Linked DNA regions of Lonchura striata. The protein of the gene in region 1 purifies or fractionates together with the protein of each later gene. This does not show direct contact. Links are inferred from orthologs where the notes say so. Each region holds a gene or a part of one and is shown in the gene's direction. Other genes may lie near its edges.

Region 1 (7,566 bases):
ACCCCCCTTTTTGTTGAAATACTTTTCAAAGGCAGTTTTGTCTTCCTTTTTTGGCCATTGCTGCAGTGTATTAACACATTCTAAGCTTTTTTTCTCAGATGCACCCTGAGCTCTTGGGGTCTGCTCCAAACAAATTCGTTTTGGTGACCAGTTAGAAGATGGCATAGCCCTCTTGCCAACTGGTGAGCCTTGGCTTGATGTTTCTTCGGCAGCACGAGCCATCCTAGCAGGCAATCCACAGTCGTTCTCATCATCTTCTGGGTGAGCAGCAGAGAGTTTTGGAAACTCACTCTTTAAAGCTAAGCTGCTCTTCTCACCAGCACCTTTGGTATGAAGCAGAAAGATACTGCCATGGGGTAATTTTTCCAGTTTTATCTTGTTTTTAGGGATTGGTGATGTCCTTACTGCTGAATGATGCAATGAGCCATGTGCTTCACTGTTTGCAGTGGAGCTGATGGCATTTGTGTTTTTCTCTGAAAGTACACCGTCTCCTCCTCCAAGCCGATGTCCCGTTCCACTAAAAGGAGTCAAGTCTTTGCAATTACCATGCATTTGTGTCTTGCCTGCAAAATCAGATTAAAAAATAAATTAATATTTTCATTAAAAAGTCATGGGCTTATTATTTGAAGTGCTTCACACAAAAAAATCTGCTGCTTGAAAATAATGCGTCAAACTAAACATTTTGTAGACAATACAGTTGAGGAGCAGCCTAGAAGTGCAAAAACAAAAGGCCCTGTTCTTTGGCTACATAACAGTAACATCAAAACCAAGCTTATGTAGTGTTTGGTCCATATTTGTTCAAGAAAACTTCTGGACAAAAATCAGTTCAGAAAAGAAAAAAAAAATCATAAAATACCTTCATTAGTTGACTTGAAATGTGGAGGTTTTGCTGCCTGAGTTTTCTGCTTGGACTTCTCCGAGAATTTCTCTGGCTCTTTCACTTTTGTGAACGTGCCCCCACACGTCCTTTGATGTTCATCCCACCAGAAGTCATGTGCAGAGGGTGCTCTGTTCATTGAGCGCTTCACATATCCAAAGTAAGGCGCTCTGTTTTGGCAGGGGCCATTGCACCGCCACCAGTGCTGGCGGTACACATTAATCTCATCATAAAAATCGTGATAGATCTACATTTAGAAAAACAAACAAACAAACAAAATCCACAAAAGAACAGTCACTCAGGAAGTTACAAATTTTATATCACTAGCTCTAAAATGTTTTTTAAAAAAATCTGTTTCCATTCAATTCCTTCCACTACTGCTGTGATTTTTATATTAGCAGTTAAGAGCTAGATCTGAGTAAAAATTTATCAACAATGCTTTAAAAAAAAGATAGGAAGCGTAGGAATATGTCCTGGTTATCTTGTTGGAACTGCAAAAAGATAATTTTGGAAATCTATCTACAATTTCACATAGAAGATGTACTGTTTAGAAAGCATTTCAAACAATACCAGTATTGTATTCTCCTTTCAGTTATTACCTTAATTGATCTTATTAGATGCATTATTTTTAAATATTGACAGAAATATTGACCCTCTATTGACATAAATCTTGACTGCTCTTCACATGGAGCACTTCTGTCCCTGCTACCATTTAAGCTCTTTCTAATTTACCACAAAAGCTTAAAGAAAAATTCTTACAGAGAACATACCTGAAAATTACATGACTAACAGCTCACCACATCTTCCTCAACCTCTTTCCACCACCATCCCCAACAAATAACTATGGAACTAGCATACACTTGGATGCAAATTTGTATTGGTACCAACTGTGGAGTGTCTAATAAGAACATTACTTAATATGCACCAGTCAACCAAAACAGCAAATCAGGAAGAAAGCTCTATTAAAGAAGGTGAAGAGGATTATTCTTACTGTGACATTGGCTCCAGTCAGGAGATTAATACGACGCATGTGCTTGCAGAACTCAGGTCCATGGGACTCACGATCTTTGTAGTTATGAGTAACAAAGAGCAGGGCGTGGATCATTTCGTGCAACAGCGTCTGAAATGATGCAACCATTAGATATTCAATGAAAAGCATTGCATTTTCAGTTTCATTATTAAGCTGCAAGTATTGTACTCTTCTACATTGATTGTGGTTACTGATCTTATCTTTGATTATTCACATACTCAGTCTGGGTCATAAAAACATAATACTTTGATCTATCAAACCAAATTACCCCTATTCCCACATCACTAAAACACACTGCATAATATCACTTCCATAAGCAGCATTCCAAAAAGGAGATATAATCCTCAAATTTAAATTGGATCTTTAAAGACATCATCCCCTACACAGCCCCCAAAAAGAGCCATTTTGAGCAAGCTGAAATTCTACAGCATTTCTGTTGTTAGGCAAATCTGAATGTTCAGCCAGCTCCAAGCAGCAACTCTGGCAGAGGCCCAAAAGCAATAAAATGTCATGTTAAGTCATAACCTATATCCTTATTTTCTGCTGTTGGCCCTTTCAAAACTATAGTCCATGTTTGGTTTGAATATTAAAGGATAATTTTGGAGTTAAAAGCCTGGGGTGTTATTTTCTCTATATAAAGTCAATAAAATAAACAAGTGACTTAAGACTTCTACTGGGAGTTGCCCACTTAGAAACATAAAACTAAAGATTACCATGGTACTGCAACACAAGCCACATGAATGTAACAGTAAAGCCAGTGCTATTTTATGACCTATAAGTTACTGCATAACAGAATCCCACTATGAAATCTAAAATGTTTGTATGAAGTGGCGGGTGTGCACAAAACACTTCACGTGCAGATTCATAAGCCATGTTCGAATACCTCCACAAGATCCTTCCTCGGCCGTAACTTTAGAAGCGGCTCACTGAGACGAATGGAACACAACCCACTACTTTTGTGATATGAACAGATACCAGCAGAGCTGAAAGGAAAGAAGAAAGAAAATACAAAAATGTATTTGTTTCTTTCTTCATTGTAGCACATGAAGAAAACAGAGAATTTAAGTCAGAATGCCATCCCCTGTAAACACATGCTAGGTCACTCAGAACATGGAATAAAATCACTTTGAGTAGTTACCTGAAAAATTCAGCATCATTAAGCAAAGAAAGAAAATATCCACAAGTTCCTTATAGTAGAAAAACCTGGTTTTTAAGGTAGAAGAATGTTTCCTTTAGAACTTGTGATGAACTAAAATACACTGCACAGAGGCTGGAGATTCACGGCAGCAAATGCAGACTTAATTGGCAGTTGTTTCAATTTTACTCCCCACCCTTCATCAACTTTTGGCTCATACTGAACCTACATATACCTCCACTTCTGTGCACTAATCCAGCAAACACGACTTTTTTTTGTTTGTGTTAGTCCTACTGAGTTAGCCCTCAATCGGTGCAACATCCAACTGTTTCCAAATGTCTAAAGAATACCGCAGCCAGCAGAGGATACGAGGTGGTGGGACTTCCAGCTGCTAGCAACTGCATCTGCTGCAGAACTGCAGCCTGCACTTTAAAGATTTCTAGGTTTGTTTAACCTCAGATTTCTTCTATGTTCCCCTTCCTAGCCCATTCTAAATTTTTCTAATATACTATTATTGGTTCATATTTGTCCTTCTGCTGTGCAGTAAAACTATCATAAAAACTGAGAACCAGAGCAGCAACACGAGCATGTGAGGCTTCCATACACATCATCTAAGACCAAGTAATTTCTTCCATTTAACATCCCTCCAGCTTGCCTGCATCCCGTGGAAAGCCATTGGTGGCTGCCACGGACGACAGATGCAAGGCAAGGGAGACAATGACGGCGACCAACTCACGTCCCGCCGTCCGGGCTCTGCCGGCGCTGCGGAACATCCGAGTGCCCGGGAAGAGAAGCCACGGCACCAGCAGGGCGCTAGCGGGGCACGGCGAGGAGCAGCACAGACAAGCGACAGCTCCTGCCGACACCGCGCACGCCGGCGGCGGCGGCACGGCGGCAGCTCCCGGACACACGGACCGGCCCGGGACAGCCCAGCCCCGGCAGCTCGGCCCACATCCCCCTGCCGCACCTGGTCATGCGGGGGCTCCAGGACACCGTGACAGCCTCCAGCTTGCCCCAGAAGAGCGTCTGGTTGAAGTGCACGAACAGGCCGTGCACGTCCGGGCTGGGGTCCAGCAGCTCCCACGCCTCGTCCACCACCGACAGCGGGCGGAGGGATGAGCCGTACGGAGAGACATCAGGGCGCTTTGCTGCCGCCGCCGCTGCCTCGTCCTGCTCTTCCCAGTCCCTCTGCAGCCTGAGGGCCAACAGGAAATCCTCGTCCTCCATCCCGAGCGCGGCTCCGTCGGCCGGCACAGAGCGCAACCGGAACGCGCAGCGGCCGCGACGCACGCGCAGCACCGCCCCGCGGGCGCCGCCGCCGCGTCCTTCCGAGTGCGCGGGCCGGCACATCCCTGCGCCGCTTCCCTTCCCTTCCTTCCCTTCTCCTCGCTTGCTCCGCTCCGCCTCCGCCGGCGCGGCCCCATCCCGTCACCGCAGGCAGTCGCTCCGGCCGCGGGGCGCAGGCGCGGCGGGTGTCGCCGGGCGGGTACCGGGCGGACATGGCGCTGTCGCTGGGCGAGGGCGGCGGCGGGAGCCGGCTGCGGCGGCAGCTGGAGTCGGGCGGCTTCGCGGCGGGGGAGTACGTGAAGCAGCTGTCGCAGCAGTCGGACGGGGACCGGGACCTGCAGGAGCACCGGCAGCGCATCCAGGCGCTGAGCGAGGAGACGGCGCAGAGCCTGAAGCGCAATGTCTACCAAAACTACCGGCAGTTCATCGAGACGGCGCGGGAGATCAGCTACCTGGAGAGCGAGATGTACCAGCTCAGCCACATCCTCACCGAGCAGAAGGGCATCATGGAGGCCGTCACCCAGGCCCTGCTCCTCCAAGCCGACCGCGACGACCCCGCGCTGGGCGCCCGCCGCGCCGCCGCCGCCGACCCCTTCCTGCCGCTGTCGGCCAAGGAGGCGGCGGCCAGCGAGGAGGGGCGGCAGCGCACTCTCACCACCCTCCTGGAGAAGGTGGAGGGCTGCCGCGACCTCCTGCCCGAGAGCCCTGGCAAGTACCTGGTGTACAACGGCGACCTGGTGGAGTACGACGCGGACCACATGGCGCAGATCCAGCGGGTGCACGCCTTCCTGATGAACGACTGCCTGCTCGTGGCCACCGCCCTGCCCAGCCGCCGCGGCGCCTACCGCTACGACGCCCTGTACCCCCTCGACGGGCTGGCCGTGGTCAACGTCAAGGACAACCCGCCTATGAAGGACATGTTCAAACTGCTCATGTTCCCCGAGAGCCGCATCTTCCAGGCTGAGAACGCCAAGATCAAGAAGGAGTGGCTGGAGGTGCTGGAGGAGACCAAGCGCAGCCGCGCCCTCAGCGAGAAGCGGCGCCTGGAGCAGGAGGCTCTGCCCCGGCCCGCGCCCGCGCCCCCCGAGTCCACCAACCCCTTCGACGAGGACGAGGAGGAGGAGGATGAGCCCTCCGCCGAGGAGGAGGTTGTTGACCTCTCACTTGAGTGGATCCAAGAGCTGCCCGAGGACCTGGACGTCTGCATTGCCCAGCGGGACTTCGAGGGGGCGGTTGACCTGTTGGATAAGCTGAACGAGTACCTGGCGGACAAGCCTGCGAGCCAGCCCGTGAAGGAGCTGCGGGCCAAGGTGGATGAGCGCGTCCGGCAGCTGACGGACGTGCTGGTGTTCGAGCTGTCCCCGGACCGCTCGCTGCGCGGAGGGCCGCGGGCCACCCGCCGGGCCGTGTCCCAGCTCATTCGCCTGGGCCAGTCCACCAAGGCGTGCGAGCTGTTCCTGAAGAACCGGGCGGCCGCGGTGCAGACCGCCATCCGGCAGCTGCGCATCGAGGGCGCCACGCTGCTCTACATCCACAAGCTCTGCCACGTCTTCTTCACCAGCCTGCTGGAGACGGCCAGGGAGTTTGAGACGGACTTCGCCGGCAACAACGGCTGCTACTCGGCGTTTGTTGTCTGGGCCCGCTCGTCCATGAGGATGTTTGTAGACGCCTTCAGTAAGCAAGTGTTTGATAGCAAGGAGAGTTTGTCAACTGCGGCAGAGTGTGTCAAGGTAAGAGAGTCCAAAGAGTTGGGTGGTGGGGCACAGCAGCTGAAACAAAGGCTTCAAAGCTTTAAAGTCTCGTCTCTAACTCTGGTTTGGTTGTTGACTCTTGTGTGGGTCTCCAGAAAGATTTCCTGAGTTGAAAGATTAATATTCATTCGAGGTTTGTTTGGTTTTTTTTCAGTTTAACAGAGGAAATCCTTAAGGTTATAATACAGGCCAAGGAAAACCCTGCCTTTATCAGGAATGCAAAATGTGTTAATTCTTAATTTACCTGTAACTAGTAGGAGGTCCTAAAATTTACATGAACTACACCTGAATTATAAGTACTTCAAAACTTTCTCTTTGTTCTCCAAGGCTGTCTTTAGGTACATTTTCATACTTTTTTTGCAAGACTAACTTTCTCAGGTTATGCTTTCTTTTGGCTGCTGATTGGGAGGGGGGGAAAAAAAGTTTGTGCATGTGGGTTACATAGTGTAATTGTCCAGAGTTTTTTTGACAGCCAGGGTGTATCTTTCAGTTATTAATTTCTCATTAATGAGATTCTTAAAGCACGATAAACAAGTATGAGTAACCCATCTCAGTTTTCTGAGATGAATTTGATAAATGTGTAAGGTGAAAAGGGAGCCTGCACACTAATAACATCCTTTGCTTTTCTTTGTTATCCCAGGTGGCTAAAGAGCACTGCAAGCAGCTGAGCGAGATTGGACTGGATCTCACCTTCATTATTCACGCCCTTCTGGTAAAGGATATCAAAGGTGCTTTGCAGAGCTACAAGGATATCATCATCGAGGCCACCAAGCACCGCAACTCTGAGGAGATGTGGAGAAGGATGAACCTGATGACTCCAGAGGCACTGGGGAAGCTCAGGGAGGAGATGAGGAGCTGTGGGGTGGGCAATTTTGACCAATACACGGGGGATGACTGCTGGGTCAACCTCAGTTACACTGTAGTAGCTTTCACTAAGCAGACTATGGCCTTCTTGGAGGAAGCGTTAAAGCTTTACTTCCCAGAGCTGCATATGGTTCTCCTGGAGAGTCTGGTGGAAATCATCCTGGTGGCTGTCCAGCATGTCGATTACAGTTTACGGTGTGAACAGGACCCGGAGAAAAAAGCATTCATTAGGCAGAATGCCTCTTTCCTGTATGAAACTGTCCTTCCTGTTGTGGAAAAAAGGTTTGAGGAAGGAGTTGGAAAGCCAGCCAAGCAGCTACAGGATCTGAGAAATGCCTCAAGATTGATGCGTGTAAATCCGGAAAGTACCACCTCTGTGGTGTGAAGTGAACCTAACTGTTCCTCAGAACAAGGTGGCAGCACTTACTGAAGATTGTTGTACATTGAACAGATGAACTAAACAGGGGTTTTTTGAGTCCCTGAAAGATGCAGAACTCTTATCTGCTGCATTCCAGAAGCTGAAGACTTTGAATCAATGCCTGCAAGCATGCAATGCTTTACTTGTTGGATGGGGTGTAGGGAAGTGAGAAGGTGGAGGTCACATGTCCTTGACAGCATATCC
Region 2 (7,238 bases), on another chromosome or scaffold:
ATATGTCCATCTATGCTGTCACACAAGGGTACAGGATTTTTGTATGACTCCCACCAGTGCAGAACTTCAAAATATTTCTAAGAGGTGACATCACACTGAAGACAAGTTCTCAGATATTTAAGAAAATTTATGTTCTATGTAACAAAATGCAACTACAACAGCTTTTTGCCTAGATATAGAGTCTACTATATGTAGATAGTGCTACAGCTTTGCTGCTATAACAATAATAACTCCACACTGCACATACAATATATGTGACTTAAAGCTTTTATGACTTTTTCATAATTTCATTTTATCAAGTATTTAAGATGTAACAATAATGTCATGGACAGAGGTTTTGTACAACTTAGAATTGCTATGTTGTACCAATACATATATTTAATTTCAAATTTTCTAGAGATAATATTTGAGGAATATCATATTAACTGTTTAAAACTATATCTGGGATTTTTATGTCCTGCAGTATTGTTGTTTAAAGGGGAGTGGGATGAATTTCTTTTCAAGGTAGCCTAAGGAGGAACTAAGGAGTTGACTTTTAATAAATAGCTGAGAAAATAAAAAAATATTACTTCCATGACTGCACTGGTTGTGCCCTGGTTTGGAACTGCAGACTCCCCTGAGTGTCTCTTACATGAAGTTTGCTGACAGCCTGGCTTTCCTACATTCTGTTTTGTGGATTCCCTCAGTAGTTATCCACAGACCCTCAAAGTGCCCCTCACAGGTCACACACACAAAATTAAATCACTTTATGGATCATCTTGAAGCAGATGTTCTCAGATGTTTGTTTGCACTCAGACCCAGGCTTGCATGCCAACATGGAAGAAAAAAACTGCACAGATATATAAAGGCTCTCATTTGCTGTCCCTTTTATACCGTCTTTTTTAGGACACATTGACAGCCTGCTTTCCAAACTGCCATGGAACTTGCAATCCCAGCAACGTGGGACTTTGTTTTATCTATGACCTCCATCTGCAGCACTTCCCTCCTGCTCCTGAGCACTTCCATGGATCTTATCCTCTTGCCTCTAAGTGCTCTACATCATTTTCTCTTAACTGAGTAGCTGGAGGCAACTACACTTCCTCAGGCTTATTTACCGTGACTGTGATTTTTTTTTCTTTCATTCCTAATCAGGCATCAAGGGCTTTTGGGGTTGTTTTTTTTATTTTTGTCTAAACATAGACAGGGCAAAGCCACAGCGACAAAATTCGTAAACAGGATACAGATGACAGCAAAACACCTCCCTGTGGTCCCACATTTTATTGTGAAGAGCAAAGAAACCAAGTGGGTTTACAGCTATAAAATTTATGAGGCTTTGCAGAGCCAGGGTGTTGATAAGAGGTTATGTGCAACCTTGGTGAGCAGCTCTTCTTTTTGGCCAACGTTTCCAAAACAAGGGAAGAGGAGATATTTCAGTCTGGTTTTGTCTTAGTCAAGTCCCAGTCTCTCTGCTGCATTTGCTGAAGCTGTCCCCACACCACAGCAGCCTCCTCCTCCCACTGAAGTCATTAGATCATTAGTTAGCCCTTCAAATCCCCGTTTTTCAGTATTCCCTTCTAGAAAGTGATGCAAACTTAAAAAAATAAAAAAGACAAAAGTTTCCAAGGATGAATGAACTTCGGTGACTCAAGAGGGAGACCATCCTTGTTGCCTGAATTAAGTTATGATCAGCTAAAAAAAAAAAAAAAAAGAGGGGGAATGCTTTGATGTCCCCGATGTCTTCCCTGAGGTCAAAGATCAGGGCTCACGTATCTCCAGCTGAGTGCCTAAGTCCTGAAACCAACAGTTTCCATGTGATCCGGGCATTCTTTATATTGTCTGCGTGCTTTGTTGAATTTAAGGTCAGTTAGGAGGATAAACTTGGGGCTTCCACAGCCCTATTATTTCCTCTGGGAACTTGAAAGATCTAAGTCTGGAAATCACTTGAAGCATCGAGGATAGTTTGCCCTTTTCAAAGGAGTGCTACTCCTTGTCTCTGCCGCTCACTGTGTGACAAGTCACTTCAGACACCCCTGTCAGCAGCCCCCCCTGCTCCGTGGTGATTACACTCTCCGAGGTTTTGGGGACAAGGCTTTCTCTTTATCTGTGTTTGTAGAGGGGAGGCCTCATCTCTAGTCCTGTAGGTAATACAAGGACCATAATACTAATCCTAAAACAATCAGAGGAGTGTCCAATGGAGAGATCTGTCTGCACCTGAAGATGGAAGATAGTTGTTTTTTTTATTTTTACTCCTAAGTTCTCTCTTTGCTTTTACTAAATTCAGACTAGGACTGTAGGTCACTTTATCCAGGACTTTTTTTTTTTTTTCCCCACAAACTTTCCCTAGCCCCAGTTATTTTTCTTCTCATTATCTGGCTTTCTCTGAAGTCACAGAAGAAGAGTAACAAAAAGGGTAACAAATCTTGCCAGCCCAATAACAGTAACCCGCTAAGCCAAAAGTCTTCCTTTATATCTGCAAGAATTCTGTATAAAAACTGTTCCTTTGGAGAACTCTTTAGTATTCAATAACTTAAAAATCCCCCAATAACTTTTTAAAAAAGTGTTTATATGCACAAATTAGCATCAAACAGAAAGCTGAATTTCTGTCTGAAAGTACTCTATTTTACCTACAGCTACAGAGCAACATGAAAAAAATATAAGGAAAATACAAGCAATAATATATGCTTATATATCTGTTTTGCCCATTTTTGTTAATCTGACAGTATTTCACAATCACTGCCTTGTCCTTTACCATGTTAGGAAGGAGAAGAGCTGGGCAAAATGTTTACAGTGACAAAAAAGAAAGAGGAACGGAGCAAGGAAACTCATGCAAAATGCAGAAGCTGTGAAAAAGCTCCCATATTTAGTTAAAAGCACATTATGTGACTCTGATTCTGAACTTTCTAAAATTGGAGTCAGAAATGCACAGCATCCAGCGGCGCTGGCACGAGACGAGGAATTTATTCAGTATCAGATGGTTTTGGTGGTTTTTGCATCCGTTTTGGGGGCAGCATCCTAGACCCACAGGGCAGCAGTGTCCCCCCAGGACACCCAGACCCCCAGAGCACCCAATCCCCCCAGGACACCAGAATTTTCTGCAGAGCCCCAGAGCACCCGATCCCCCCAGGACACCAGGATTTCCTTCAGGGCATCCAGACCCCCAGAGCATCTGATCCCCGCAGGACACCAGGATTTCCTTCAGGGCATCCAGACCCCCAGAGCACCCAATCCCCCCAGGGCACCAGGATTTCCTCCAGACCCCCAGAACACTCAATCCCTCCAGGGAACCAGGATTTTCTGCAGACATCCAGAGCACCCGATCCCCCCAGGACACCAGGATTTCCTTCAGGGCATCCAGACCCCCAGAGCACCCAATCCCCCCGGGCACCAAGATTTCCTTCAAGACATCCAGACCCCCAGAGCATCTGATCCCCGCAGGACACCAGGATTTCCTTCAGGGCATCCAGAGCACCCTAAACCCGCAGGGCACCGGGATTTCCTTCAGAACATCCAGACCCCCAGAGCACCCGATCCCCCCGGGACATCAGGATTTTCTTCAGGGCTTCCAGACCCCCAGAGCACCCGATCCCCCCAGGATATCAGGATTTTCTTCAGGGCTTCCAGACCCCCAGAACACCCGATCCCCCCAGGATATCAGGATTTTCTTCAGAGCTTCCAGATCCCCAGAACACCCGATCCCCCCAAGATATCAGGATTTTCTTCAGGGCTTCCAGACCCCCAGAACACCCGATCCCCCCAGGATATCAGGATTTTCTTCAGAGCTTCCAGACTCCCAGACCCCCCTCAGGAACATCCGCGCCCCCTGAGGGCATCTGCTCTCCCCAGAGCGCCCGCCTCCCTCCAGAGCACCCGGACCCCCCAGAGCATCCGCTCCCCTCAAGAACACCCTTCCCTCCAGGGCACTCGGATCCCTCAGAGCACCTGGATCCCTTCCAGATCACCGGGACTCCCCAGCCCGACCCTCGGACTGCCCAGCTCGCCGTGCCCGCGGTACCGTCGCTACCTGGAGAAGAGCACGGCGCCGCCGGCCGCGCCTGAGGAGCCACAGCGCCCGCAGGGCCATGCCGGTGGCGGTGCCGGTGGCGGCGATGGTGGCAGCGATGGTGGCGGCGATGGTGGCAGCGATGCCGGCGGTGCCGATGGCGGCCGGGGAGGAGCCGCGGCCGCGCCGTGGCCGCCCGGCGCGGCGCCATTTCCGGCGGGCGGAGGCGGCGCCGCGGCCGCCGCTGCTGCTGCCGGGGCGGGGGGACACAATGGGCGGCAGCGGCGGGGCGGCGGCGGCCACGGGGCGCTGAGGGGCCGCCGCCCTCCTTCCCTCTCTTTCCCTTTCCCTCCCTCCCTCCCTGCGGCCATGGCCACCACGGCCGAGCTCTTCGAGGTGGGTGCGGGCCCCGCGGGCGGGGGGCCGGCTCGCCGAGGGGACGCGGCGGGCTGTCGGCGGGGCAGGGCGGGCGGTGCGCGGGGCTGGGGAGCCGCGGTGCCGCCCCGCGGGGCGCGGTGCCCTCCCGGCCCCGCTGCAGCGCCTCGCTGCCGCACGGCCACGCCGGGCCCGGCCCCGCGCTGCCTTGCCCGGCCCCGGCGCGGTGGGAACGGCGGGGATGGAGCGGAATAAAGGAATAAAGAGTTTGCCCTCCCTTTACTCGAGGCGAGGAAGGGGAATAGCTCGGCCAAGGCCACGCAGGAGCAGGACGGGAATAGCAGGAGTCTGTCAGATTCTTCCCGTGGGATTGCGGAATGCCCTAAGTTGGAAGGGATGCACGAGGATCGTCTCCCTCCTGAAGGGAGCCTGCCAAAGGGATGGAGGGGGAATTCTTACAGAAATGTGTAGTGACAGGACAGGGGGAATGGCTTCAAGCTGAAAGGCTGGATATTAGAATACTACCACTCTCGACTGTGAGGGTGTTGAGGCCCTGGCACAGAGAAGCTGTGGCTGCCCTGTCCCTGGCAGTGCTCAGGGCCAGGTTGGATGGGGTTTGGATAGTGGAAGGTGTCCCTGCCCATGGCAGGGGGTTGGAACAAGATGATCTTTGAGGTCTCTTCCAACCCAAACCCTTCTGTGATTCTGTGGCTTCAGCTTCTGGCCTGGACCATGAACTCTTGTGATGTGGCCTGTGTTAAACAGAAAGTGTGGTGTCCCCACTTCCTCTTCACCCCTGTGTCATGGTGTCATCCCCAGGTGTCCTGTATTTGCTCTCCAAGTCACTCAAGAACTGTTTGTTTTTCTGGTGGGTTATTATTGGGACTCACATTGCCCAGCCTTCAGGAAAGGGTCTTCCATTTTCTCTGGAAGAACCCATCTCTGGGGTTCATGTAAATGCACTGTGTGCATTTGAGTTTGTGAATCATTGTGATGGCACACGAGTGTTATGACTCACATCTTTTGGTTTGCATAGCTTTAAAAAATAGCAGGACTAAAATACTGTGTTCCTGTGGCTGGATGCCAGGTTTTGTACCCTCCCTACACCACTCTAGGAGCCCCTTGATTTCTCAACATGATGACAGTGCCATTCTATTCTTTGTGGGGTGTTGAGTGTGAGGTGATTTGAATATGGAAAGAAAACTGTGTTTTGGCTGATTTGGGTCGTGCAACAGCTTTTTCCATTTTGCAATAGCAATAAAGATAAAATTGCAAATTAGGTGAGACTTTTGCCTGGAGATTGGGGCTAGAAATTATGCCTTTCCAACATGGAATCCAGTATTTCTGTCTCTCCCACTTTCAGTTCACTTTCACTCCAAAGGCAAGAGAGTTTTTGTTGATGTCCGCTAATTTAATGTTGCCTACTTGGTTAGTTTGAAATTTTTGCCTTATATAAAAACATAAAAATCTGCTTGTTATGGGAGTAGCCCTTAGCTGTCTGCTGAGGATGGAATTTGATTACCATATTTTCATGAGTGTGTGTTTTAAGTATATTTCAGTACAGATATGGGAACTTGTGCAGCAGGATCTGTGTTGAAAATGGGCATAACATGGACTGAATTCTCCCTCACATAACTTAAAGCATAATTTAACAGTGGATGCTTCTAAACTGGTTTTTAAACTGGCTGTGTCCAGTGTAGCTTCATTTGTAAACACCAGATCAAACCAGGTTATGACCCACTTCAGGCATATCTCTTATTAAATCAGGAGTATTGGCTGAATGGATGGGATCACATTAATTCCTCTGGAGCCAGAGGGAAGTTCAAAGCTGGAGAAATTGACTGTTGGGGCTCATCTGATAACAGGCAAAGGACTTGCAAATGACATTTGTAATAGCTGATTTTCAGCAATTTCTGCAGACCAGGATAGGGGACTTAAAATAGGAGTTAGGCTGTCAGCTATGAGGAACCCTGTTATCAAGATAGCATTTAAAAAAGCAAACGTGTATGGAAGATACAAACTAAAGTAAGAAGTTTTGGATCTGCAGTGGAACCTGGAAAATCATGTCTTAGAAAGATACTGTTGAACTTCATTTATTCTATATAAATCGAGTAGATTATTTCTAGCACACCCTCTGTAGAAAATTGAAAAGGGAAGCTCATTTTATTTCTCTGTTGATCCTGCACATAATAGCCACTGCAGTTAATATTTCTTAAATAATATAAAACACTATTTATATGATTTAAAAACTGAAGGACAGGTCTCCTGTGTAAGTATTCTTGAAAAATCAGGTATTTTCCAGGAAAGGAGGTACAGGTTTGTGTACACATGAACTCAAGGAATATTTAGAGGTATATAGAGGCATGATGGGGTGGAGAAAGATTGGCATTATAATATTGTTTTGGGTTCTGAGGCATCTACATCAGATTTCCTTAGGGGAAGAGGCTTGCAGAAAAACTTTATGAGTGTTGTTTTACAAAAATGAAAAAATATTTAAAGCCATTATATGTGTGTTGGTGAATTATCTTTTAGTATGAACATCTGGGAAAGGGAGAAATGTAGAAAATGTTATCTGCACACACAGAGTGTTAGTAAACCCTTTATTCAGGGTTCTTCCATACTTGGCTTTAGCATCCTTGTAACCAGAGTGGTACCTCAGCTAAATTACAGGATCTTCAGAGGAAAAATTGGGGATTTTCATATAAAGGAGAAGTCCTGCAAAGAGCCCTGAGGTAATTGGGAAGCTGGAAGCCTCCCCTGAATGGAATGTTACTGCACTGAATGACTCATTTCACCTGTAATTAAATTACAAAAGTGTTCCAAACTTTTAGATCTCAAGATGGCATAAGGAGGGAATTTACACTTGGCATGAAACGTGGCATTG
Region 3 (7,937 bases), on another chromosome or scaffold:
AGTGGGACCAATAAGGCAAAGAAAGGTTGTGCAGTGATTATAGATTTGTTAGGGCAGTTGAGGACGTGCTGGGCTTTTTGGCTCTGCTCCTGATTCTGCTGCCATGGCTTTGGCAGGTTACTGATTTCTAGTTCAGAAGACACGATATGGTCATGGAAGCAGCCCTCTTAATTTCAAACAGGCTTTAGGTTATGTACACACAGGAAAATAGAAGATGGTGAGTTATAAATCAGATAGGTTCCTTTTTTGGCAATTGTGAAGCAAACCATCTGTATGCATTACAAGATGGACAAATAATGATGACCATGGATTTGTCAAGAACAAATCCTATTAAACCAATAAGACCTCCTTTTAAAATAAGGTAATAGGTGTTACACAAAGGAGAGAAGTATTAAAAATTCATATATCTTCATTTTAGTAAGGCTGTAGACAATGTTTCTTGTGAATAAGCAAAGACAATATGGTCCAAATTGAAAGCTCCATGGTGTAAGAAAAGGCAAGACTATTTCTGAGGAAGAGTTAGCAAAATGGGGTCATTATCAAAAGGAGAGATGTATTGAAAGAGGTTTCTCAAGGTATCTGATACTCTTTATAAACATCCAAAGAATGGAGTAGAGACTAAGCTTGATACATTTGAAGAGGACATGAAAAAGAGAGCAAATAAAAGAGTGTTAGAGAACAGAATTAGAATTCAAAGGGAATTTGACAAAGTGGTTATGAGGAGATTTTTTTTAAGAAAAATACAAAAGATGGTATTCAATAGGTGCAATAGACATAGCATCATCAGTTCCCCAGATACAGGATGGGGAAAAGTAAACAGGATTATAGTTGCCTGGAAAAAATGTAGAGTGAATCACAGGCTAAGCACGAGTCATCACTGTTATGCTGTTGTAAAAAGGAAAATGGGATTGAAACAGGGAAACAGCCTGCAAAATAGGCAAAGCAATTATTTTGCTCTGCTACCCCATGGTACAGCTTAAATTTTAGTGGTTTGGGGTAGGTTTTTTTTTTAAGTTTTTCATCTGAATCATGCTTGGCTTGGGGAATTGTGCTTCCAGAATGACACTGGGTGTCTGCAGAGGAGTGCAGGGGAGTTCAAGCTTGATTACCAGTCCAGACAACATTAAATATCAGGCTATTAATGGGACAGTTTGTAATAATGAGGCAAAGAAGATACAGGGTCTTTAAATATGGAAAAGACAGCTACAGGGAGGAAGCAAAGAGTCTGTTCTCCAGGCCAGGAAAGACAGACTTTTCACTAATGGACTTAAATTCCGGTAGGGGACCTATTTAGAACATACATTAGGAAAAAAGACCTCTAGTGATAAGGGTAGAGAAACACTGGGAAAAATTGCCTGAGGAGATGGCAAAAGCACCATACTGAGAAGCCTTTAAGAACAAGATTTAAAAAGCAGTTATGTTGCAACAAAAGATCATGTCTTGGGGCATGGAAAATAACAGGAAAGGGGGATTTCTTAAGGTCATTTTCAACCTTATGCTTCTTAGGATTTTCCTGTTCCTCAGATTTCCCTGGTTATAATATTCACCTCACAAATTTAAACAAGAGTAGGAGAAGGTCTGGTTTGGATGTTCACATGTCAAAAAAATTTAGGCAACAGCTGTAAGCTTGAAGGCATTCAGAAAACAGTTCTGGAAAGGCACTTATACAGTGCAGAATCAAAGTTAATCCATACAGTTTGTTAAGAGAAGGTGAAGGAGTAAATCTGCTGCATTTCACAAACATCTTCAAAAGGAAGATATTTCTGTTAACAAGAAGCAGGCTTGCAATGGACAGATGCTGCAGCTAGATGAATTTACCTTTTCAAACAACATTTATATTTCAATCAAGTTTTTTTTACACATTAAGGTAGTGTGGTACATGTTAGCATAACCACTGAGAAATCTTCAAAAGTGCAATGATGGATTGGCCATTTCTCAAAAATAAATAAATAACAAATTTTATTCTTTGAAATAAAATGAAGATGCCTTTTTTAAAAAAACAGCTACAGAAAGACCTTGCTGTGGGAATGGCTGGAGGAAATTCTACAGCTTTCAATATTCAGGTTAGACAAGATGATCATAATAATCTCTTTGGCTTTCAAATCTGTTTACCTAACTTTGTAGAGAGATATAATGTTTACAGATCACTGTCAAATCTGCAGAAATGGATTAGAAAAAGGCATGAATGAGCAATTACTCTTGTGACCTCTATGAGGTATAACACTTACTATTTACCAGGTCATTACATTACAAATTGTCACTTCTTTCCTCAGTTTTAACTGCATAGATTAATCTCTTTAACAGCATCTGGAGTTCCATAGAGTAATATATTTATATTAGCAGCATTATATATGACAGCAAATATATACTATATATTATGGTATATACATCATAAGTTATATATATATGACAGATATATATTTTTTTTAACCACACTAATTTTCTTCCTTTTGTTCCAAAGAGATATGCGGGGTAGTGTTTCTTTTCTCCAGAGGGTCACATCTGCAGTCAGTCACTGTCAGCTTTGTTCTGGTGTCACTGAAGGGGTAGGTGATGGTCACTAAACATCAGCTGGGGAAACCACCCACAGCAGATTCAACAAAGTGCACCACACAGGAAGTTCTGCATTGACAGTATTATCCAGGGCCCTATAGATCATATGATTCCTGCATGCTGCTTGTGGAAATAGGAGGATTTGCCTGTGTGGATGCCAGTGAAGAAGGTACACAAGTCATTTATAAGGCTTCTGTTCTTGCAGGAGTTGTGCTGTTCTGACAAATTCCCAAGGACCATGATCTGCATAAAAATACTGCTGAGAAGCCTTTTAGAAATAGCAGCTTAAAATCTCTAAAGGCTGGGTGATATTTTCACAAGCAAAAGATCTGTCAGCTTGTCCTCACTTGGGGGCTTAACACTGGAGAGGTTGACACTTTTCAAGTTCATGTTCCCTCTTAATGATTCACCTATTTAGGGTCTTTTCACTTACAACAGAGGTGAATATTCGATCAAATCTGTAACCGAACTATAGTTTGGCACTGAAATTTATCACTTGAACTAAATCTAAACTCATGGTTGTTTATTACAAAACCTTCTGGGTACATAGTTCCCTTTATGGACTCCCACAAAAGTCAATGGGCTTTTTGGGCACAGGTGTCCCCTCTCAGAGGGCACTGGGCTGGGGCCCAGGTATGCAGTGTGCTGGGTGGGGCCTTCTGAATCCACCAAACCTCTCAAAGAGTGGTTTTCTTTGGCACATCTGATGACAGGCATTCAATGAGAAAATTCAAACAAGCTGTCATGGAGAAAAAATATAATTTTGAACTGGGTGGCAAACGGTTGCACTTTTTTTTAATATTTTATTTCTCTCTTTTCTTGGAGAACCAAGGAGCTCTTTTTATGTATTGGATCTCAGCAGAAAACCGCAGTAACTAGTTATAACTGCGGAAACTTATAGAAAAGACAGGTACCATCTGCTTTTGTTTTTCCCCAGAAAGATATTGCATAATGTTTTACAGAGAAGAGGAAAGAGTCAGAAATGTATTGCTTATTCATAATATGACATATTCCAGTCTGCTAATTTAACCTGAGCACCTTTAACCTATGAAAGCAAAGTTAGGAAGTGTGTGGGGTGTGGCCACACATTTTTTTTTATGGTGCTTTTTATGGTGCTTTAAGGTTTTATGCAAGGTAATTTGCCTTCCCATTAGTATCCTGCTTTGGCCTGGTTTGGCATAACTAGGAATGGAGTCTTCCTTGCTGGTGTGGGTTTTTTTTTTTTTTTTTTTTCTTTCATTGCTTTTCCTCTCCTTCCCAGTAACCTTTTTGTCTGAATGTGGCTTTTGCAACCAAATACTGAAGAATACCAACAAAGAGTGAAAAAGGAAATCTCCTGAGTCTTTCCATAAGGAAATGAACTTGTGTTCAGAATTCCCATAGGCAGCCTGTGGTTTTGGAAAGAAACATTTTTACTGGTTTATCATGAAAGGAGGACAGATTTATGTCACCTGGGGCTGACAGCACTGCTTGAGTATTTGTGCCTGGGCTTTTGCCCCCCACCCATCCTTCTGCACCTCCCCTCACAGAATCACAGAATGGTTGGGGTTGGAAGGGACCTCTGGAGACCGTCCAGTCCAAGCCCCCTGCAAGGCAGGGTCACCTGGAGCAGGTGACACGGGAACATGTCCAGGTGGGTTTGGAATGTCTCCAGGGAGGGAGACTCCACGACCTCCCTGGGCAGCCTCCCTCACACCTCAGGCTGGGAGTCCCAACACTACTGCTGGGCGAGTCTCTGCCTATAGGCGCAGTGCTTGGGGGTGGTTTTATTATAATTTATTACTTTTGTTCACAGAATCACAGAATCTGCTGAGCTGGAAGGGACCCATAAGGATCACCGAGTCCAACTCCTGGCCCTGCACAGCGCCGTCCCCAGAGTCGCCCCACGCGCCTGAGAGCATTGTCCAAACGCTTCTTGAGCTCTCTCAGGGTCCTGTCGCTGTTGTCACTGCCATAGTCAAGACTGTTATAATTAAATATGTTTTTTCTTCCCTTGCTCCTCATCCACGGGAGAACCGACCCCCATTTTCTCCGGGGGCCCTCAGGAGCCCCGCGCAGGGCCGGGACTGAGGGGGGGAGGCGGGCAGGGGGCGGGGCCTGCCGGGGGCGCGGCTCCCGCCGGGGCGCGGCTCGGGCCCGGCGGCCTCCCCCGCCCGCCTCGGTGGCTCGGCGCTCCCTCGATGCGCTCGGGCGGCGGCTGGCGGCGCCTGCGGGCGCGGGGCGCTGCCGGGAGCGGGGCGGCCGCAGGTGCCGGATGCGAGCGGCGGCGGGCGGTGAGTGACCGGCCCCGGCCCCGGCCCTGCCCCGGCCCCCGGCGGGCGCTGCGGGGCAGCTCCGGCCCCTTCCCTTTCCTTCCCCCCCCCCGCCTCCCCGGGGCGGAGGCTGCCCCCCTCCCTTCGGTCTCCCCCCGCCTTCCGCTCCCCGGGCGGGGTCGAGCGTCGCGTCCCCGCCCCGGCCCCGTGGGGACGGAGCTGTCGGCGACGGCTCTGGCGGCTCAGGGGGCGTCGCTGGGCTCCGGCCGGCTCCCCCCCGGTGCCTTCCCGGCTGCAGCAGCTCTTGCTCCTCCCCAGCCCCCTGCCGGGGCGCTGTCGGCAGGGCGGGGGGTTCCTGCCACCGGCGGCACTCGGTGTCCTGCCGGGTGACGCTCCCGGGCGAGGCCGGGCCCGGGCCGGGGAGCCCTTCCCAGCGCTGGTGGCACTGTCCCGGCCCCAGGGCCGGCAGCAGCGGCTCCGTGGCCTTTGCCTGTGTCTCGTGTGTCTGACAGCGGCCCGGGGGAGCGCCGGGCTGCACGGGCTGAGCCAGAGCTGCGCCAAGTCCCAGAGTCCATTCGGTTGGAAAAGACTTCCGACATCGTCCCGTCCGACCCGTGTGAAATGATGGGGTCGTTTGGCTCAGTGAAGTGTGGGTGTGCTGGGTGGGGGAGAGAGGAAATGAGCAGGGTAGAGAGGTGAGTCAAAGCTGGTTACTTGCAGGACTTGTTGAAAAGCTGGTTATTTTCAGGACTGATTTTATGTTTTGTTTTAGTTTTTTTCTTTTTTGGCTTCGCATTTAGTTATGCCATCAAGTTTCAGATATAGCTGCCCAAAATGAATGAGTACCTAGGCAAATGCAATACGAAAAAACAGGGTAAGGAGTGTGGGAGGAATCGAAATAACATGCTGGTTGAGAGATGGTTGCTTTCATTCTTCTGTCTGGAGAGATTACGCTTCTCTGAGACTTGGATTTTTTTTTTTTTTCAACTTCCTACACAGTGCTACATTTCTGCCTCATTTGGACTACCTTGCAGTCCAGAAGCGTCCATGAGCTGGGTGACCAAACATCTTTCCTCCTTGCCTCTTCTATTATCCTAATTAGGAACCTGAAAATGATCTCTTAGCAAGGTGCAGATGTCTGAAATTTGGGATGATCTTGTTCCCAGAGGAGAGTTTACCATTCTGCACAGTTCTACTGTTTTTTTAAATAGTCTTCCTTCTGCAATTTCTTCACTTATTGCAGGTTAACAGCTTCTAACCATAGACTCAAAAGCTCTGAGTCAAAAGCCAGTAAAATATTAAGCCATCCTAGCTCTGACAGAACATCAGATTAAACCTAAACTACAAATATTCATTGTTTAAAATGTAGTTAGAATCATAATCACGCTTCAGTTTTCCAGATTTTCTGATCATTCTTATAACAAGTAAACAGTCTTCTTTCTCCTTTAGTGATCTCTTTGCGTTTCACTGTTATAAACATTTTCTTTGTTTTTGCTTTTGATGTTTTTGTTTTGCTTATGGTGAAGTTGTCAGAACAGTTAAAGGACTGTAAATAAACAAACTTGTGGCTTAGAAAAACAGGTCTGATTTCTTCCTTTACATTTTGCTCACCTGAAGCAGGAATGCACTATAAATCTTATTTCCCTATTTTTATCGTATCTTATCCCAGCTTGCACTGACCTAGCAACAAGCAGCAAGAGGCATATCTTGTTGCTGATTTCTTTCCTATGGATAGCTTAGTGCTTGTGGTTTATGCCCACTCTTTGGACAACTGTTTTTATTTAGATGAAATGTCTGTTGTCTGCAAGGTCCTTTAAAACAGATGCGGTTATTTTCATTATACTGGTTGGACTTATCTGAGTGAAAATTATTTTAAGTTGTAATGGTAAGGGTGGTTTTCTCTATGGAAAACATATTTTAGGATGTGTCAGAGGTGAAGCAATTTAATTAAAAGATTGTTATCCATCAGACTTATGCTGGCTTTAAAAAAAAAATATAAAGTTGTCTTGTATTTTTCTGGTCTTCATTCAATAAATGAAAATGTTTTTACGGACTTGATGGTTTGTGGTTGTTTTTAATGCTCTAATTGCTTTTCATATTTTAGAGCTAAGCAGGTCTAGGTTAATGAAATTCCAAATGAATAATAAAAAAAAAAAGTAAAGTTCTAAGTCATGAACAGTAAAAGAAATCTAAAATGGTAGGATTTCTTGTGAGAGTGAGCATGGGTTTTATGCCAGCTGTTGAGAGCATTTGAGGCAAAACTGGACAGTAAAGATATGAAAATCTGTAATTTGCCAGTTGTTTTCCTGAGGTCCTATTAGAAAGAAACTGTATCCACTAATACAGTCCATTCTTTATTATGCTGCTTTTCCCAGAGAAGCTGGACTAAAGCAAAATAAGTAGGTTGACTAGAAAGGCAGAGGCCACTGACCTCATTTATTAATCAAAACTTTCAGATATGTTATGTTGAACCATACTTAATCAATTTCTTTCAATGCAGTGGTATATTTAGCTGTAAATTCAGTAAGTCTTAATCACTGTACTTGAAATTAAACTTAATCAGTTTTGAGTTATTTTAATTCTGTTTATTCTGCAATTTTCGGCTTTCCAACTGCACTTAAAAAAAAAAAAAAGCAAGAATGTAAAGATAAAAGTATTTCTCTTGAGAGGATGGTGACAGAAGAATGAATATAAAATGTGTTCTTAAAACATAGATTCTGACAACTATGGAAAATATCCATGAAATAATATATAGTTAGAGTTTTGTACACCAGGACAAAAGCTGTGGAGCACATGCAGACACTACCTGCATGTATTTTGAATGCCTGTAGGTCACTATTTATTTATACAAACAGGCAAATGAAACCTTCTGCAGGAGAAGTCAGAAGGACTTCATTTTATAGTCAGGGACTGGAAAATAGTACTCAGAGGACTGTAGATGTTACAGTGAATTTATTTTCTGTGTGAGTTTTTCAGACAGAGTGGAACCTACTGCTATACTTGAAGCCAGCTGAAGGTTCAAAATCTGAAAACAGCTGAATTAGTATCTTTTAGCAGAAGTCAGATGTTAGCTCTTCAGCTTAACTTTGACCTTCTGTCTTGGACCACCTACATTCTGTAAATCTGGGCTGT
Region 4 (7,579 bases), on another chromosome or scaffold:
GCCTCCAAACCCCGGCGGCGCCGGGCTCCGATCCCAGCCGGAGCCTTGGAATTCGGAGCACTGGAACCAGTTTTGTTTAGCAAATGCACTAAAAGGGACTCGTTAACTCTCTTATTGCCAACCCCCAAGCGAGCACTGCACTGAGGATGCGATCCTTAGTCAGGCACTGCAGTGGTTTTGGTTTGCTAATTTGAGATTTTGTTAGTTTTGAGATTTTTTTTGGCTAATGTAGTGTTGAGTGTGGTGGGTTTAGCGCTGGTTAATCCCTAATGTACTAATTTTCTATTGTGAGGTGGGATTAGGAGAAAAGTAAAGTAGGTTTAAAACTTTAAATGGGTATAAAAAAATGATAGAAACTTATAATATTAAAAAATAAAATATAAAAAATATAATAATATAACAGTATAACATCATAATATAATATAATATAATATAATATAATATAATATAATATAATATAATATAATATAATTAACATAATTTAATAAAATAATATATATAATAAAATATAATAATATATAATATAATAATATGTAATAATATATAATAATAAAACTGAAAGAAAGCATAATAAGAATTAGAACAAAACCTTTAGAGTATTTCTCTTCTCTCAATAACTTTTTTTTTACTGATAATGTAAAGGAATAAAACTTAAAATTTTAGTCAGCTTATTACTTCTAAAATAGTCTTTTTGTAGCTCACTTAGGGAATAAAACTTTACATTTTAGTCAGCTTATTACTTCTAAAACAGTCTTTTTTAAGCTCACTTAGGGAGAGAAACCTTCTTGTTACTGTTATGGAGACTTCTTTAAAAGAAAAAAAAATAGCTTTTTGTGGCTCTCAGTTTCTTTATGACTGGTAGTTCTTTGGAGAAATCTGTAACTGTGAAGTGTTTCTTGTTTTACTACAGGCTTTTCTCACAGCTGGCTGAATTTCCCACCTTTTGTGCCGGTGCTGACAGTGGAAATCCCTTGTCCGGCGGGGGAAGCGGCGGCATTCATTCCCGTGTCCAGCGGCAGGCAGGGCTGGAGCCCGCGGGACGGCGGCGGGAGCGGCGGCGGGAGCGGAGCGGGGACGGGGCGGGAACGGGGCGGGAACGGGGCGGGAAGGGAGCGGGAACGGAGCGGGAACGGAGCGGGAACGGAGCGGGATTGGAGCGGGAACGGAGCGGGATTGGAACGGGAACGGAGCGGGATTGGAACGGGATTGGAACTGGAACGGAGCGGGATTGGAACGGGATTGGAACGGGAACGGAGCGGGATTGGAATGGGAACGGAGCGGGATTGGAGCGGGATTGGAACGGGAACGGAGCGGGATTGGAGCGGGATTGGAACTGGAACGGAGCGGGATTGGAGCGGGAACGGAGCGGGATTGGAGCGGGAACGGAGCGGGATTGGAACGGGAACGGAGCGGGAACGGAGCGGGATTGGAACGGGAACGGAGCGGGATCGGAGCGGGAACGGAGCGGGATTGGAAAGGGAACGGAGCGGGATTGGAACGGGAACGGAGCGGGATTGGAGCGGGAACGGAGCGGGAACGGAGCGGGATTGGTGCGGGATTGGAGCGGGACCGGAGCGGGATTGGAGCGGGATTGGAGGGGGATTGTCCCGGGACCGGAGCGGGATTGGAGCGGGATTGGAGCGGGATTGTCCCGGGAACGGAGCGGGATTGGAGCAGGATTGGAGCGGGATTGGAGCGGGATTGTCCCGGGAACGGAGCGGGATTGGAGCGGGATTGTCCCGGGACCGGAGCGGGATTGGAGCAGGATTGGAGCGGGATTGGAGCGGGATTGGAGCGGGATTGGAGCGGGATTGTCCCGGGAACGGAGCGGGATTGGAGCGGGATTGGAGCGGGATTGGAGCGGGATTGTCCCGGGAACGGAGCGGGATTGGAGCAGGATTGGAGCGGGATTGGAGCGGGATTGTCCCGGGAATGGAGCGGGATTGGAGCAGGATTGGAGCGGGAACGGAGCGGGATTGTCCCGGAGCTGCCGCTCCGCCGGTTGCAGCCCTGCTGGTCCTGCGGGCACTGGCAGCACGGGCGTGTGGTTTGCCCTGTGGTAGAACACGCTCTGATGCCTTGTGAAGAACAGACTAGAATAAATCGGGATTTATTAAGTGGCCTCAATAGATCCACCTCGGGCAGCACAACCCAAAATGGTCACAAATGCACTCTCTCACTTTGATAAATTCTGCTCCATTTGCAGATTGGAGTTTAACTCATGAAGTTCCATCCTTTTGTTTTCTCTCTTCATTCCATCTCTTGGGCCTGAGATTTGGATGATTTGTCCTTGGTCCCCAGCTGGGGAAAGATTTGTTTTGTCTCCCTACTCTGTACAGAAAGCTCACCATCCCCTCATATGAAACCTGCACTTACAAACTAAAGCAGAATAGAACCTTGAAAACCAGAAAAGCTAAAACCTGAGGCATCAGCTCAAACTGCAGCATTTGTACCCTTTCTTTTTCCTTTTACCCAAAATAACCCCTTGGACTCTTTCTGTTTGACCAGCATTATTTTTTTTTCCTGCTGCTTCCTTTTAGATGTGCTGCTGCACCTCACGTTTGCACAGAGTCCAGCAGTTTTTACACAATGCTGTGCATTTATTTCTGTATGTTTATTCACTCCTTAACATCCCACACAGCTGGCACTTGGGGTGGGTGTATCTCTCCGACTTTGCTCTAAGGGACTGTTGCTCCATGAGGGGTGAGGGGTCCTTTTGGGTGGGTTTTCAGGAAAGAAACAGCATTATTGGACAAAACACACACAACTGCTCCCCAGGGGAGGTTCCTTCTGGCTCGGGCTGCCCTTTGAATGAAGGGGTGAATGCTGGCAGAAAGAGCATGGAATTCTGTAAAGAAAGATATGGATCTGCTCTTCTGGGAGAAAGATCTTTCCCAATCACACCAGCCCAGTGTGGGGAAGCACAAAAGGTGCTGGGTGCTGAGCTTGGACAGGGATCTCCTCTCTTATACCCCCAAATCCCCTTTACCAGGTATCCCCACAAAACACAGGCAGGTGTTTGTGGCCACACAGGGGAAAAAACAGAGCCAGAGCTTGGGCACATGCGTGGGCAGCAGGACAGGGTGGGTTGTGAAATCCATTGTTGTATAAAAAAAATCTTCTCTCTGGAGCTCGGGGTGGCCTGACAAGGGGAAGATGGATGGGCACACACCAGTCCCTGCGTGTGGCAGGAGCCTTGGAGCGGGGCAGGGCAGCGGGAGCTGGGGCTGCAGGACCTGCAGGTGCTGGAGAAACACTCCCTGCTCTGGGCTTGGGTAGTTTAGGGACATGCAGAGCCCCCAGGGTGTGACACCCCGGCCATCCCCCCTGTGCTCTCCCGTGGGATAACCTTTCTCCCTAAGGGTGCAGGAGTTCACACTCACATTTTTATAATTTCACCTTCCTGAGCTCAAACCCCTGGCCTCCTCCACATCTGTTGTGCACAAATTCATATTTGTTACCCCCAGTGCAATAAACCAATTATGACACACTCAAGAGAGACGCTGATTATTTATTTCAGAGCTGAAGAAACCTGGGTGCTTGTTGGGACTCCACAAATCAAGCCATTACCACGGTCAAAACTTTTTACTATTTATGCATTTTAGCAAAGGAATTTGTGTTAATTGGCCGCAAGTTACATAGTTCTCCTATTAATGATTGTTATTATTCTATCTTCTGTTGGGAAATTATTCTCTTGTTTGCCACGCTAATTAGTCCATGTGCTCAGTCCTTCTCTTCTTTTGGGTTGGTGGGTTCCTTGGATCTGCCCCTGCTGAAATTACAGTTAGTCAGAGCTGATTTATCCTAATTGCTGAGTTGTTTTATAAGTTCCTTCCTTATCTTGGGGGTTCTGTCAAATGTCCTCATGGCCTGTAAATTCTGCCTTTTTTGTACCCACTATCAGCACATCCTTGTCCCAAGCTTTGTTAGCCTACCCCGAGATAATTTAAAAATGTCAAACCCTAAACCATAACAAGGCAATTCTACCAATATGCAGTTTGTTTTTCTAACACCTGCACATCACTTAGAACTTGTTGGCTGCTGTGTCTTTCCTGGATTAAATCTCCTTTATTGTCCATTAGGCTTGAAAGTACACAAAGATCAAACATCAAAGCACATCCTCTCTTAAGAAAATTTTACGCAACAGTGCCACGCTCAGGACGAGAGGACATAGCTTCAAGCTGTGCCAGGGGAACTTTAGGTTGGAGATGAGGAGGAATTTATTCACAAAAATTGTGATTAGACAATGGAACGGGCTGCTCAGGGAGGTGGTGGGGGCACTGTCCCTGGAGATGTTAAAGCCTGGACGTGACACTCGGTGCCATGTTCTGCTTGCCAAGGGGGTGTGGGGGCACGGGCTGGACCCGAGGATCTGGGAACCCAAATTAATTGATTTGGGTTCTGTGACCCATCGCGCCACTCCCAAGATGGCGGCGCAGCCCCTCCCGCCACCCCCGACATGGCCGCGGGCAGGGCAATGCGCATGCGCCGCCGCTCCCCGCGGGTCCTTCTCGCTCGGCGCCACTCTCAAGATGGCGGCGGCGCTCTTTGCGCATGCGCGGTGCGCGCCGCCGCGCCCGTCATGGCGGCGCGGCAGTGACGGGCCGGGCGCGGTGGGAGCGAGCGGCGGGGCGGCTGCGGCGCGATGATCCCGAGCGAGGAGGTGTCGGCCCGCAGGAGGGAGATCGAGGACAAGCTCAAGCAGGTGGGGGTGGGCTTGGGGCGCTCTGCGGGCGCTGCCGGGGCTTGGGGCCGGGCCCGCAGCCCCCTGGCGCTGCCGGGCAGGCGAGGCTGGGTCTGGCGGTCCTCACCGGGCCTGGGGGCGTCCCGGGACCCCTCAAGGCGCTCATCATCCCCCTGCTGGCTTGGGAGCACCCTCAGGTCCTCTTCAAGGCCTGGTTTGCAGGAATGGGGGTATCTCTGCTCCCCACTGTGGGCCTGGGTTTCCCCTCTGCGTTCTCGGCAGGGTCGGTGGGCTCTCCCCACAGTCAGGTTCTGTCCTGACAGGCTGCCATTCCCCTCTGCCTGTGGGCTTTGGGGTCCCTCCACCATCTGTGGGCTTTAATGACTTAAAACCAGCCCTTGGTGGCTGCTTTGCATCGGACACTTGAGTTCCCGGTGTGTTTGGAAGGTGCAGCACCTGTGTTGTGCTGTGGCAGGGAAATGTGTGCTGAGTCGTTGTGCCTCAATGGGAAAAGTGTTCATTTTATTTTGTGCTGTGTTTCCCTTTAATGCCCATAAAGGGAAACAGTGAATTCATAAACCTCCTGGCTCATTACATTATGTGTCCCCACCTTGGGTTACTTGCCCTGCTTTCTGTTAAGAGGTGGTAATATTAAAATGTGGCCACAGAATCAGCATCAGACCAAACATGGCTTGCAGCAGAGTTTACAAGGTTGGTAAAAACCTGTGTGTGCTGTTTAGTGACTTAAACCTTAGTGTTCAGAATTTTAGAGTAATTTCTTTTTCATCTTACTCGCAGGAAGAAGAAACTCTGTCCTTTATCAAAGAGAGCCTTGAGAAGAGTGACCAGCTCACCAAGAACATGGTAGGGATGTCCTTATGTTGGGCCTGGCTTTACTTTTTCTTAGGTTTTTAGGTTTATGAGTTTTCAAGGCTGTTGTGATGCCCATCTGAGGGATGTGGAGCAATGAACCACTTTGGACTTCAGTGACTGGGCAAAGGGGAAACCTGAGAAATGCTTCAATACTGAGCTTCTCTCCTGCTCTGCTGAGGGTTCAGATGAGCTGTTGGCCTCATCTCTGCTACAATCAGTCCTCTCTCTTGGGGAAAAAGTATTAAGAAACCTCAGATAAACAGCATCATGTTGTTGTTTCATAATTCAGGTTTTGTTTGGAGTTTTATTTTGCGAGTGTTCTGTGCAAAGATAAAAAGTAATTATTGTGTTGTAATTGCTTATAAGCCCTCAGTTTATATACTATGTCCAGTCTTGGTCTCAGTGCTTTAAAAAAGTCATAGAGGCACCACCAGAGAAGTGTGGAAAACATGACACAGGAGTGAGTCTTGTAGGAATTACCTTTGAGCCTAGAAAAGATGATTCTGAGGCACCCTTTTATGAGCTTGCTTTGGTTTTCCTCCTGTCAGCAGCACTGTCACGATCCTCTTTAAAAACCAAATGTCTGTGGTGCAAAAGAAGGTTCTCACTAGACTGGTACTTGTGCAGCTCCTGTTTGGGTCTCACTGTGGAGCAAAGGAGCTGCTGGTTTGTGATTTTGCTGCTCTTTTTACATGGGGCACCTCCAGGCAAGTTTCTGCGGCTTTATTTTCTGTTGGTGAATAAAATTTTGCTTGTCCTTTTTTCTGTCTTAGAACGTTATCTTCACTTTTTGGGATTGGCCCATCCCTATATGGCAGGTGATCTGTTTTGTGATTGTTAGTAAAAACTAGAACATAGAGGGGTGGAAACAGCTGCTAAGGAACCATGGCAAATTAGTAGCAGAGCCCAAAAAGAAAAGCTAGGCCTTGAAGATCCCTGACTTCCCTGCTCTAATTCCTACCCCACTCCATAGGAAGGAAGTCCTGAGCTGTTGGTTTCTCTCGTGGTGTGTAGGTTTCAATCCTCTCCTCCTTTGAGAGCCGTTTGATGAAGCTGGAGAACTCCATCATCCCTGTCCACAAACAGACAGAGAACCTGCAGCGCCTGCAGGAGAACGTGGAGAAGACCCTGTCCTGCTTGGATCACGTCATCAGTTACTACCATGTGGCCAAGGACACAGAGAAGATCATCAAGGAAGGGTGAGTTGAGCAGATAAATCCTGCTGGGAGCTTCATCCTGTTGGATTTTTGAGATAGAGGTGGGGGACCTGACTTCACACACCCTTGGTATGCTTGGTACCCTTCCCACATTCTTTCCTCAGTCCACACTGGCTTGACATTCAGCCATTTCCACAGGGCAAAGACAGCTCAGACTCTGTACTGGGATCTCTTCCAGATCTCTCAGAGGTGCTCCCATTGCAATCTCCATGAGCAGCGGTAGCTTTTCTGTTGTCTTCTGATCTTTTCCCAAAGCTTTTCCTTGCCCATTGAAGTTGTTACTACATCCAGGATGTACCAGAGCTGTTCTGGAGCCTCCTTGTCTGGGAGGGTGTTGGATGGTTCTTGTCTGAGATGGGATGTGCAGTTCCCTCTGCCTTCCATCAGGGCCTGTCTGGGAGAGGAAAGCAAGGCTGAGACTTGTGTGCTGCTCCATCACCAGTGCTGCTGCACTTGCTGTGTGGGTTGGGTATCCTGCTGTGGCACTGAGTGCAGGCAGAAGGGAATTCCTCCTAGCTGAGGAAAAGGGGATTGTTGTTTTTATCCCAAGTCTGGTCTGTTGCTTTCGTGTTATTTTGTTTGTTTGTTTGTTTCTTAGGGCACTACCTTTTATTTCTGGTTTTATTTTTAGCCCCACGGGGAGGTTGGAGGAATACTTGAATTGCATGGACAAAATCCAGAAGGCAGTGGAATACTTCCAGGACAACAACCCCGACAGCCCGGAGCTGAACCGTGTGGTGGGTCATGGACCTGGAACCTGTGGATGAGAGGGGGACAGACACAGCCCTGCTGTTTGTCCCCTGCT

The links.
Region 2: the proteins of EXOC8 (region 1) and EXOC5 purify together in Homo sapiens (affinity purification with mass spectrometry; 5 studies listed by BioGRID and IntAct, counting the BioPlex papers as one, with this or other methods). This does not show direct contact. The link is inferred for Lonchura striata from reciprocal best matches to the Homo sapiens genes EXOC8 and EXOC5.
Region 3: the proteins of EXOC8 (region 1) and EXOC2 purify together in Homo sapiens (affinity purification with mass spectrometry; 7 studies listed by BioGRID and IntAct, counting the BioPlex papers as one, with this or other methods). This does not show direct contact. The link is inferred for Lonchura striata from reciprocal best matches to the Homo sapiens genes EXOC8 and EXOC2.
Region 4: the proteins of EXOC8 (region 1) and EXOC7 purify together in Homo sapiens (affinity purification with mass spectrometry; 4 studies listed by BioGRID and IntAct, counting the BioPlex papers as one, with this or other methods). This does not show direct contact. The link is inferred for Lonchura striata from reciprocal best matches to the Homo sapiens genes EXOC8 and EXOC7.

The regions. Positions count from the first base shown.
Region 1 is NC_134605.1:43,611,596-43,619,161, reverse strand, and holds the start of EXOC8 (exocyst complex component 8), read left to right. Parts: upstream 1-4,516; 5' UTR 4,517-4,541; coding exon 4,542-6,059; intron 6,060-6,720; coding exon 6,721-7,329; 3' UTR 7,330-7,566. Other genes in the region: DNA-dependent metalloprotease SPRTN, read right to left, coding at 1-563, 857-1,124, 1,869-1,997, 2,791-2,890, 4,010-4,269. UniProt on the Homo sapiens protein: Component of the exocyst complex involved in the docking of exocytic vesicles with fusion sites on the plasma membrane.
Region 2 is NC_134608.1:4,354,929-4,362,166, reverse strand, and holds the start of EXOC5 (exocyst complex component 5), read left to right. Parts: upstream 1-4,224; 5' UTR 4,225-4,348; coding exon 4,349-4,375; intron 4,376-7,238. UniProt on the Homo sapiens protein: Component of the exocyst complex involved in the docking of exocytic vesicles with fusion sites on the plasma membrane.
Region 3 is NC_134603.1:95,192,652-95,200,588, reverse strand, and holds the start of EXOC2 (exocyst complex component 2), read left to right. Parts: upstream 1-4,744; 5' UTR 4,745-4,826; intron 4,827-7,937. UniProt on the Homo sapiens protein: Component of the exocyst complex involved in the docking of exocytic vesicles with fusion sites on the plasma membrane.
Region 4 is NC_134621.1:4,238,782-4,246,360, forward strand, and holds the start of EXOC7 (exocyst complex component 7), read left to right. Parts: upstream 1-4,547; 5' UTR 4,548-4,645; coding exon 4,646-4,705; intron 4,706-5,482; coding exon 5,483-5,548; intron 5,549-6,571; coding exon 6,572-6,756; intron 6,757-7,405; coding exon 7,406-7,511; intron 7,512-7,579. UniProt on the Homo sapiens protein: Component of the exocyst complex involved in the docking of exocytic vesicles with fusion sites on the plasma membrane.